3 linked regions of the Callithrix jacchus genome follow. The protein of the gene in region 1 interacts with the protein of each later gene in a pairwise test. Links are inferred from orthologs where the notes say so. Each region holds a gene or a part of one and is shown in the gene's direction. Other genes may lie near its edges.

Region 1 (3,747 bases):
CCTCCAAGTCAAACTTGGAGCTCCAACTACTGGCAGCTCACCTTAAGAATATATTCACTATTTCAGATTTTCTTTCTTTTTATTATTATTATTTTTTTGGAAATAGAGTCTCGCTCTGCTTCCCAGGCTGGAGTGCAGTGGCACGGTCTCAGCTCACTGCCACTTCCTCCTCCTAGGTTCAAGTGATTCTCCTGCCTCAGCCTCCCGAGTACCTGGGATTACAGGCAAGTGGCACCACGCCCGGCTAATTTTTGTATTTTTAGTAGAGACGAGGATTTCACCATGTTGGCCAGGATGGTCCCGACCTCTTGACCTCACGATTTGCCCGCCTGGCCTCCCAAAGTGCTGGGATCACAGGCGTGACTACACGCAGCCCCCAGTTTCGTTTTAAACAAGTCTATACAAATAGAATATCTACAGCTTGGTGGCAAAGCCGCTTAAACATGTCACTGGCTAGTTCTGGCAATATTATCCGAAATCAACTCATTTTTGTGGTCGAGGTTATCTGTCTTGTCTTTACCAATCGAGTCGCTGTAAACACTCCAGGACTAAAGATGACACCTGAAGAATCAAACTTACTCAGGGAAACTGTTAACTCCTTTTTTGCCAGTTATTAAAAGTTCTGGTGAATCCCAACTCAACCCAGAATGACTGGTGAGGAAATGTGAGTCCTTGACCTCGCTGGCCCTGGGGCGTTAGGCTGAGAACCGCGTCTCCAGCCTCCTCTCCCACCCTAGGAAGTCTGGGATTCTATTTCGCCTGCAGATGCGCCCGAGGGCTCCCGAGGACGGACCGGGCAGGCAGACCCAGCCCGTGCCCAGCACTGACAGCAAACGCAAACCCAACGCGCCGTCTTCTGAGACAGTCGTTTTCCCTCGTTCAATCCCCGACTGACGTTCATCCCCAAAGTGTTCGAGACGCCCCGAAAGCTGCAGAGGAGGCCGCACCGCCCGCCCCTGGGCAGCCCACGTTTCAGGACACCCCGTTCCTCAAATTAATGGCGGGGAGAAGCGGGCGAGCGTCTCCTCGCAGCCTCGGTTCACAGACCGGGGCGTGTCGAGCGAGTCCCTGCAGCAGGACGGCGCGCTCACAAAAACGAGAAAATCCCACTCTGCATTCAAAACCAGGCGAGCGCACTCCGGCCTCGCGGCGGGCGACCTGCTCCCGCCAGGGAAGCGCGAGGCCGGGGAGCCGGTCAGGGAGGCTGAGGGAGCGCCCCCCGCCGCGCCGCAGCCAACTTCCGCTCCCCTCCGCCGCAAAGCCCGCAGCCCGCCGGCCGCCACACCTCGGCAAAAGGTCGGGGGCAACCTCTCCACACTGGAAAGTCTCTGTTCGCTCCCACACCGGCCCCAGCCGGCCCTGCGGTGTGACCCGAGTGCGCAAGAAGCCGGGGCCGCACTCGTCAGCAGCTCCCTGGCTTCGAGACCCTTCGGCAGAGGCCGTGACTGCGGCCGGCGGGCGCTGACCCCATCCCCGCGCGCGTCTGCCGCCGGCCAATCCGCGTCCTCTTGAGGCGGGGCCGGAGCGGCGAGGCCCCGCCCCCAAGCCGCAGCCTCTTATTAAATACTGCGGCGCCCGCCGGCCTCACACAGCCGCGGAGCAGCGGGAGGACGAGGATGCAAAGTGCTATGTTCTTGGCTGTTCAACACGACTGCAGACCCATGGACAAGAGCCCAGGCAGCGGCCACAAGAGCGAGGAGAAGCGGGAAAAGATGAAGCGGACCCTGTGAGTATGGCTTTCTTCCCTCTCGCGCCACCCACCGCGAGCTGCAAACGCGGTGCTTTCCGGCTCGGCTTTGATCTTAGGAAGCTAGCCTGACCCTCTGCAGGGAAAAAAAAAAAAGTCGAAAAGCTCAATTTGTTAAGTAACGTTAAATCTGGGTGACGCTCGGGTAGTGTAGGAGCCGAGGGACGTAGTTGATAGGAGGGCGGTGGTGGATGCGCTAAGAAATTGTGGGTTGGCTGTTTGTCCTCCCGCATTGAAAATGACATCAGAATCCTGCGGCTGGTCCGCTTTACACAGCTGCTGGAAGGAGATGCTCTTGCCGGTTCTGAATATACTCGTTTAAAATCCATTTTTGTTTTTTAATTATAGAGCAGATCTCACCCAGTCACGAATGTGGAACAAATAATTGTGCAGCGTCTGCTTAAATGAAGGGTTGCAGGTGGGGAAGGGAGAGTGCAGGGGAATCAGTCGCCCACCCACCTCTTTGTACACACTCTGGCACGGTCAGGAACCTCCTGCTCTAAAGACAGAAGCATGGGCTGGCTCCAGACAGTTCCACGTCTGCCCTTTTCATTAACTGCGAAACGTCTCGGAATTGTAGTTAACCTTGCAAACAAACTGGTATCCTTTTGAAATAGTATCTGCCTTTTGAACTAAATTCATTAACAATTCTTTAAAATACTCCTAGTGATTCTAGGTAGCCCTGCCCTTAGCTGTAAAAGTAGTAGATACGATCAGATTAATGGATGAAACTGTTCAGTACATGAGTTTAAATGTTAAGTGGGTGGTAAGACTGTTATTTGAAGAGTTCTTGCTTTACCTTATGCGGTTTGTCTCTAGTTACTGGGTGCCTTTATTTGGTAAAAATGCGTTCAGCTGCAGAAGCATATTGAAGTGTTGGTACTTAGTGATTATGTTTTTTAAAAAATTTTTTTCTGTTGTTTTAGTTTAAAAGATTGGAAGACCCGTTTAAGCTACTTCTTGCAAAATTCCTCTACTCCTGGGAAGCCCAAAACCGGCAAAAAAAGCAAACAGCAAGCTTTCACCAAGTAAGTTGAGAATCCCGTAGTTGCAAGTATGAATAGTTAGTTGCTGAACTGAAAAGGGGAACTCTGATGTGCGTAAGCTAACATGCAAAACTTGTCTTTCAGGCCATCTCCTGAGGAAGCACAGCTGTGGTCAGAAGCATTTGATGAGCTGCTGGCCAGCAAATGTAAGTTAATTCTTGAACTTGAGCCATTGCTATTATCACAAAAGCCTGGAAAGGCTGTGTTCATGCTGCAAAAGAGCAGCTTGCCTGAGGGAATTAGATTGTGCAGTCACTATAGGATAAAGCCTATTTTTCTCTCCTTTATTTCCCAGGGTTTAAAATGGAAATAAATGCATGTATTCCCTCCAAGTGGGGAAGAAAAATAGCCAAAAAAAATTAAAGTGGCAGTTGCTTATAGTTAAGTTCAAGTCAGTTTTTCCATTGCATACAATGTTTTCAAGAGGCTTAGTTCCCAGAGAACTTATGGCTCCCCTATAAATATTTATTTTGCATTGACAGCAAAGTTAAGTACTTATATTTTTGCAGCAGAGTGCCAACATAAGCATTTTACCTACTGCATCTTAGTCATTAAAAAGCTAAATTTTGAGAATTGCAGGTTTGAGCAAAATCTAGAAAATTACTGTCATTTAGAAATAATTAAAATTTGAGGTAGAAGTACTAGGGGGAACATAAGGAATCATTCGGTCACTCAGTTCTTAACATTCTGCATGCTTTCTTTTCTCCCCTCTTCAGATGGTCTTGCTGCATTCAGGGCCTTTTTAAAGTCTGAATTCTGTGAAGAAAATATTGAATTCTGGCTGGCCTGTGAAGACTTCAAAAAAACCAAATCACCCCAAAAGTTGTCCTCAAAAGCAAGGAAAATATATACTGACTTTATAGAAAAGGAAGCTCCAAAAGAGGTAAGACAAAAAGTTCCTAATTTCAGCACAGTCAGGACATTTTTAGCACAAAAGTGAAACAAAAGAATCCA
Region 2 (3,647 bases), on another chromosome or scaffold:
CTTGCTCAGTGCTGTGCTGCCCAGGACTCAATTCCTCAGATTGACAGTTTCATTCTTTAGTTCCAGACTACTGCTCATGCTCTTTCTTCTGCCTTAAGCATGATTTCTTCCTTGCCTGCTTAAACTGGATCACCCGTCTTTTATTATTATTATATTTTTCCTGCCTCAGGTTTATTTGTACAAATAGCATAGGAGGACCCCAGCCCCATGCAGATGGCAGTCCTGGGGGGTCCCACCAGTCCTTCTGTCCTCACGTTGGCAGACAGAGATGTCTACTCTGAAGCCTTTGTAGGGGCCTGGGCACCTTTGGGAGCCTGAGCTGGAACTGAAGCTGGAGCTGCAGCCTGGGCCTTGGTTTGATCCTTGGCCTTGGCCTTGACCTTTGGCCGGCAGAGCCTGAGCCCCTTCCCAAGCTTAGGGTGGGCAATGCAGGCAAGTCGATGGAGCTTGTGGCTGACACCCTTTGGCATCTTGGGCTTAACCTCCTTGGGCTTTACAAGGGCCTTGATGGCCTCGGCACGTGCACTCATCGCCTTGGCATTGTTGGCCTGTGTCTTCTTTAGGCCCTTCTTGTTGTGCTTTTTGGCAAAGTGCATGTTCCTCAGGAACTTGGGGTCCACCCCCTTAAGAGATTCGTATCTTTGTGATCGGGGTTTCTTGATGCCATTTCTATGCCATTTTCGAGACTGGTTGTGTGTGGTGTGGTTCTTGGACTTGGCCATGTCTGCACCTAAGCCATGGTTCCCGAAGCACCTAGCCGTCTTTTATTATTTTTGTGTCAGAGTTTTGCTCTTGTTGCCCAGGCTGGAGTGCAGTAGTGCAATCTTGGCTCACCACAACCTCTCCCTCCTGGGTTCAAGTGATCTTCCGGCCTCAGCCTCATGAGTAGCTGGGATTACGGATTCCCACCACCATGCCCAGCTAATTTTTATATTTTTTAATAGATACAGGGTTTCACCATGTTGGAAAGGCTGGTCTTGAACTCCTGACCTCAGTGATCTGCCTGCCTTGGCCTCCCAAAGTGCTGAGATTACAGGCATGAGCCACTGCACCTGGCCTTTTTTTTTTTTTTTTTCCTTTTTCTTGTGAAACAGGGTCTCACTCTGTCACCCAGGCTGGCGTGTAGTGGTGTGATCTCAGCAACCTCTGTATCCTGAGTTCAAGTGCTTCTCCTGCCTCAGCCAGCCTACCAGGTAGCTGGGATTTTGGGTGTGTGCCACCATGCCTGGCTAATTTTGTATTTTTAGTAGAGATGGGGTTTCACCATGTTGGTCAGGATGGTCTCGAACTCCTGACCTCAGGTAATCTGCCCACCTCAGCCTCCCAAAGTGCTGGGGTTATAGGCGTGAACCACCACTCCTGGCTTATTTTTTTTTAATTTTTCTATTTGGGACAGGGTCTTGTTCTGTCATCCAGTTTGGAGTGCAGTGGTATGATCATAGCTCACTGCAACCTCGAACTCCTGGGCTCAGGAGATCCTCTTACCGCCGCTTCTCCAGTAGCTGGGACCACAGGCATGCACCACCATGCCTGAGCCAATTGTTTTGTTTTGCTTTGTAGAGATGAGGTCTTGGTATGTTGCCCAGGCTGGTCTCAAACTCCTGGGCTCAAGTGTTCCTCCTGCTTTGGCCTCCTAGAGTGTTGGGATTGCAGACCTGAGCCACTGTGCTTGGCTGATCTTGAGGTTTTTTGTTTGTTTGAGATGGAGTCCCCCAGGCTGGAGCGCAGTGGCAATATCGCAGTTTACTGCAAGCTCTGCATCCTAGGTTCAGGTGATTCTCTTGCCTCAGCCTCCTGAGTAGCTGGGATTACAGACACGCGCCACCACACCTGGCCAATTTTTGTATTTTTAGCAGAGACAGGGTTTTGCCATATTGGTCAGGTTGGCCTCAAACTCCAGACCTCAGGTAATCAGCCCACCTCGGCCACCCGAAGTGCTGGATTACAGGTGTGAGCCACTGCGCCCAGCCTTTTAATATTTTTTGAAACTGAGTTAGGTCTTGTTGCCAAGGCTAAAGTGCAATGATGTAATCTCACCTCACTGCAATCTCCATCTCCCGGGTTCAAGCAATTCTCCTGCCTCAGCCTCCTGAGTAGCTGGGATTACTGGTATACGCTACCATGCCTGGCTAATTTTGTAATTTTAGTAGAGATGGGGTTTAGCCATGTTGATCAAGCTGGTTTTGAACTTCTGACCTCAGGTGATCCACCCGCCTTGACCTCCCAAAGTTGATTTTTCAAAAATTTAATTTAATTTAATTATAAATTAATTAATTAATTAATTTGAGACGGAGTTTCACTCTGCCACCCAGGCTGGAGTGCAGTGGCACAATCTTGACTTACTGCAACCTCCATCTAACAGGTTCAAGTGATGCTCCTGCCTCAGCCTCCTGAGTAGCTGGGATTTCAGGTGTGTGTCACCACGCCCAGCTGATTTTTGTATTTTTAATAGAGATGGGATTTCACCCTGTTGGCCAGGCTGGTCTCAAACTCCTAACCTCAAGTGATTTGCCTGCCTTGGCCTCCTAGAATGCTTACAGGCCTAGCCAATAATAGGGTTTTTAGAAATTCTAACAGTACAAAGAGTTTTCCAGGCAAAGTAAGCTTCCCTCCTGCATGAGGACCCACAGGCCTCCATTCTATGTCCCAGGGGCATCTACTGTCAGTCTCTTAAAGTCGCTATTAAGAGGTGATGCGTAAATCAGCATCTCTGGATGTGTCCTTGCCCCCTCAACATATCACATATACTCTTCTGTTCCTTGGTTCTTTTTTTCAGTGCACTGTCTTGGAATGTTCCATATCAGTCCATCAAATCTCCCCTGTCCTTTTGTCCAGCTGCCCCTTTGAGGCCTGGTGGTCTTCCTTATGCATGTTCCCAGGGCACAGGACACATCTGATCCTGTTGTTGCTATTTAAGGAAGGTGGGGTAGGTAGGAGCATTATTCCCATTTTCAAGATGAGAACATTGAGGCCTAGAGCAGTTTAAAGCCACTGGGCTGAGCTAGAGCTCAACTCCAGTTCTCCTAGACCTGTGTCTGGGGTCATCCCCTCCACAGCATGGTTCTCCACCACGGCAGAGGAAACTCAGAGAGTCTTGCTGCTACAGGGAACCGGGTCACCTGCCTCCCCCACCACATGTACACTCAACTAACCTTGGGGAGGCCATCTGCTGGGGGTCCCAGCAACCCACTGACCTATACCTCTCACCCCCAACAGTGCACCTGTGGCGATTTTCAGGTGGCTACCCAGCCCTCATGGACTGCATGAACAAGCTCAAAAACAATAAGGTATGTTAGTGTCCTCTCAGCACACCTCTCTGGATGTTAGAGGCAGCCCAGTCCTGTGCTGGGGACTCCTCTGCCACCCCATGAGGCACACTGTCAGGATGGAGGGCACTTCCTAGTAGCTGTGCCTTTACCACCATGCCCGCAGGAGTACCTGGAGTTCCGAAGGGAGCGGAGCCAGATGCTGCTGTCCAGGAGAAACCAGTTGCTCCTCGAGTTCAGCTTCTGGAATGAGCCACAGCCCAGAGTGGGTCCCAACATCTATGAGCTGAGGACATATAAGCTCAAGGTGCCTCCCTCCAACGGACCCCTTACTACCCCCCAACTTCCCTGCTGCAGTGCTGCTTTGCAGCTGCCCCAACA
Region 3 (3,647 bases), on another chromosome or scaffold:
TCTGGAGGCATCTTGGCTAGTTCTTTCCCATCCCTTAGGAGCCAGCTCACATGTCTTCTCTGTGGAGGTGTCCCCTCGCTGGCGGCTGGCCACACCTGCCCTTGCCGTCATGGCGTTCCATTCTTTCCCAGCATGTTCTCCTTATAAGGGCAGGTCTTCCTTGTCTGCACTGGGTGACACACTTTATTCATCTGTGTCTTTGCAAAGGTGTAGATCATGTGTCACCCTCGTGCATGAACACACAGGGAGGACCTTGCCCTGGGCAGTGCCATAGGGACTCGAACGAAGGAAACTGGATAGTCTTTACCCCCAAGTACTGTCTTAGAAATCTCTCCTCCAGTAGGCTGGGCACGGTGGGTCGTGCCTGTAACCCCACACTTTGGGTGGCTGAGATGGGCAGATCATGAGGTCGTGAGATCAAGACCATCCCGGCCAACATGGTGAAACCCCATCTCTACTAAAATACAAAAAATGAGCTAGGCATGGTGGTGTGCACCTGTAGTCCCAGCTAGTCACTACTCAGGTGGCTAAGGCTGGGGAATTGCTTGAACCCAGGAGGCGGAGGTTACAGTGAACTGAAATCAGGCCACTGCACCCCAGCCTGGGCAACAGAGCAGGACTCCATCTCAAACAAATATCTTGCTGCAGAAGCAGTCTTTGCTGAGTCTCATTAATATTTTGCTAGATTGGAAACTCCAGAGCTCTCAGCTCTTATAAAACAGTTTGACAAAGGAAAATGATTCTGGCAAGAAAAAAATGACTAAAGATGGTGGTTCTTAGCACAGTCCTCGCCCATATTGTTAAAAAATGCGTTTCTATTTGACAGTGATTTCCCTGCTGGGGCGAACCTGGTTGGGCAGCGCTGAGCATCTTAGCTGGCCTCTTTCCCATCTAATATTGGCCACCACCAGCCCTCCCTTTTCTCCTCTGTCACCTCTCCAGGGTGTACCCAGAGCAGCTATTTTAAAACTTAGCGCCCAGGCTGGGGTGCAGTGGTATGATCTCAGCTCATTGCAACCTCTGCCTCTTGAGTAGCTGGGACTACAGGTGGGCACCACCATGCCCAGCTAATTTTTGATTTTTAGTAGAGACAGCGTTTCACCATGTTGGTCAGGCTGGTCTAGAACTCCTGATCCACCCGCCTCAGCCTCCCAAAGTGCTGGGATTACAGGCATGACCCTCTGCACCCGGCCTTAAAACTCTTTAAGCCATGTAACCCTTTTGACAAGCCCTTAGTTTCTCCTGCCCGGAGGGGTGCTGTGGGGCACGGGGCAGTGGCCGGGTCTCACTTCTGACCGGTTCTTCCCAACTCAGGAGTATACCAGCATGTCACTGGCGAGATGATGGGCGGCCACGCCATCCGCATCCTGGGCTGGGGCGTGGAGAATGGCACGCCCTACTGGCTGGTTGGCAACTCCTGGAACACTGACTGGGGTGACAACGGTGAGTGGTGGGGAACTGGGAGCCACACGCAGTGGCCATCTTGGCTTTCTCTGTTCTACCTGCTGCACAGCCTCAAACTGTGGACCTAGGCCAGGCTGTGAGCTCCTTCTAAATGCCAGAGGCCAGGATGGGAAGGGTGATGCGGGCGGAGGTGTGCCCCATGGTGTGAGGGCCGCGCTACTGAGCAAACAGCAGGAGCTGTCGGGGGTTAGAGACTTACTCCCAGCTTTTTTAGGGATGAGTCTGAATATACCGACCCTTGTCACATTTTAAAAGCACCTTTTTTTATTCCCAGGCTTCTTTAAAATCCTCAGAGGACAGGATCACTGTGGAATCGAATCAGAAGTGGTGGCTGGAATTCCACGCACCGATCAGTACTGGAGAAATATCTAATCTGCTGTGGTCCTGTCCTGGGGTAGTTTTCCCTGCACAGAGTCAGGGATGGGGGTAGAAATGTCTTAATCTTTGCGTCCCTGTAAGATACAGGGCCTAAAGAACTGGACTGGCCAAACCTCATATCAACCATCAGAGCTGTTTTCCAAGGAGACTCCCGGCTACCTCCGAGCCTGCTCAGTGGACTGATGGCTGCAGTGTAGACAGTTAAGCCACGTGAGCCACTGCTGCCAGCACGGAGCTCCTTTCCCCATGACTAGTGCTGTAGGGAGTGCCTGCTGCCCCATCCCTGATCCATCCATCTCCAGGAGCAAGACGGAGGCTCAGGAATAGAAAGCAGAGTTCCTATCAGGATTCAAGTTCCCCCCTCAGCAGTACCTCTAAGCAAGTAGCTTTCTACATTTGCTCCAAGATCAGAGGACAGATGGTGTTTGGAGCCCTGTGGAGAAGCCACATTCTCCCAGGGCCCCTGCATCTGTCGAGGTTTGCAGTGTCAGAAACTCTGATCTTGGCCTCAGCATGATTCTTTTTTAATAGTTTTCTTTTTCGTGCACACTGCTGGTCACGCGGATAAAGGAGTGCAACAGTGGGAGGCCGTGCTAGTTTACAGATTGCCTCCTAACAGCATGGCTCAGAACGAAACCTAGTGGCTGTGACTTGCTTCCGACCCTGATCTCTACTACCACCATGAAACTAGTGTAGGAGAAACCAGCTTTTACTGTTTTTCAAAAATTCCTGCTTCACGCTGTCAAGTTAAGGAATGCCTGTGCCAATAAAAGGTTTGTCCTTCAACTCAAAGTCGGCTCTGATGGCATCTCAGAGGTCATTTGTCACTGCCATCCTCAGCCCTGCAGAGAATCACACCCAGGGACTGCATGCCCTCAGGATTCTTGGGACCTCAGCTTAACTTCCCACTGCATCCCCATCAACCATCTGTGTAAGTCCTTGATGAGCTTGCCCTTAAGAACTAACTACAGAGCTGTGGTGGTGGTTTTTTTTTTTTTTTTGAGACAGAATCTCACTTTGTCATCGGCGATGGAGTGCAGTGGTGCAAATTCAGCTAACTGAAACCTGCACCGCCTAGGTTCTAGCTATTCTCCTGCTTCAAACTCCCGAGTAGCTGGGATTACAGGTACCCACCACCATGCCAAACTAATTTTTATATTTTTAAGTATATACAAGGTTTGACCATGTTGGCCAGGCCAATTTCAAACTCCTGGCCTCAAGCTGGTCCACCCATCTCAGCTTCCCAAAGTGCTGGGATTACAGGGTGAGCCACCGTGCCTGGCCTCTATTTTTTATTAGCCACAAATCCAGCAGTGACCTGAGAATTCTCATGAAACAGGCCTGGTATCTTGGTGATCTCACATAACCAAGATGCCATCCCGTGGAGGGCCACATCCCCCAGATGCCTTCCAGAGGGGCCGAGTCAGCCTGTACACAGTATTTTGAATCTGTATGCCACTGGTTTGCATTGCTGGTCAAGAAGTCTCGTGCTCTGCATAGGCCTGGTTTAGAATCGTTTTACACCAGTTCTTGCAAGAGTAGAGGAATCTCGAAGAACCAGCGGTCACTCTACTGTCCTGTCAAGATACACCTCAGTATCACCCTTCCCTACTGAGGCTGGATGGGGCTAGCTCTTTCCAAAAGCATTCAAGTTTTGCTTCTGATGTGACCCAGAAGTTAGGAATCAGAAGCTCAATCAAATAAGCTCTGAAACTCTGAGAAACATTGCAGGGAACAGTTGTGAGGCCCATCACGGCACTTGAGAGATGCTTAACAAGGGTTACCAGAGCCGCAGATTCATAACC

What was found.
Region 2: the proteins of RGS2 (region 1) and NIPSNAP1 interact in a two-hybrid assay, tested with the Homo sapiens proteins (2 studies listed by BioGRID and IntAct). The link is inferred for Callithrix jacchus from reciprocal best matches to the Homo sapiens genes RGS2 and NIPSNAP1.
Region 3: the proteins of RGS2 (region 1) and CTSB interact in a two-hybrid assay, tested with the Homo sapiens proteins (2 studies listed by BioGRID and IntAct). The link is inferred for Callithrix jacchus from reciprocal best matches to the Homo sapiens genes RGS2 and CTSB.

What each region holds. Positions count from the first base shown.
Region 1 is NC_133519.1:49,997,586-50,001,332, forward strand, and holds the start of RGS2 (regulator of G-protein signaling 2), read left to right. Parts: upstream 1-1,586; 5' UTR 1,587-1,616; coding exon 1,617-1,726; intron 1,727-2,673; coding exon 2,674-2,775; intron 2,776-2,877; coding exon 2,878-2,939; intron 2,940-3,509; coding exon 3,510-3,676; intron 3,677-3,747. UniProt on the Homo sapiens protein: Regulates G protein-coupled receptor signaling cascades. Inhibits signal transduction by increasing the GTPase activity of G protein alpha subunits, thereby driving them into their inactive GDP-bound form.
Region 2 is NC_133502.1:200,168,927-200,172,573, reverse strand, and holds part of NIPSNAP1 (protein NipSnap homolog 1), read left to right. Parts: intron 1-175; exon of another isoform or gene 176-272; coding exon of another isoform or gene 273-722; exon of another isoform or gene 723-868; intron 869-3,216; coding exon 3,217-3,287; intron 3,288-3,432; coding exon 3,433-3,573; intron 3,574-3,647. Other genes in the region: large ribosomal subunit protein eL29-like, read right to left, coding at 273-722.
Region 3 is NC_133514.1:10,221,226-10,224,872, forward strand, and holds part of CTSB (cathepsin B), read left to right. Parts: intron 1-1,314; coding exon 1,315-1,443; intron 1,444-1,738; coding exon 1,739-1,836; 3' UTR 1,837-3,647. UniProt on the Homo sapiens protein: Thiol protease which is believed to participate in intracellular degradation and turnover of proteins. Cleaves matrix extracellular phosphoglycoprotein MEPE. Involved in the solubilization of cross-linked TG/thyroglobulin in the thyroid follicle lumen.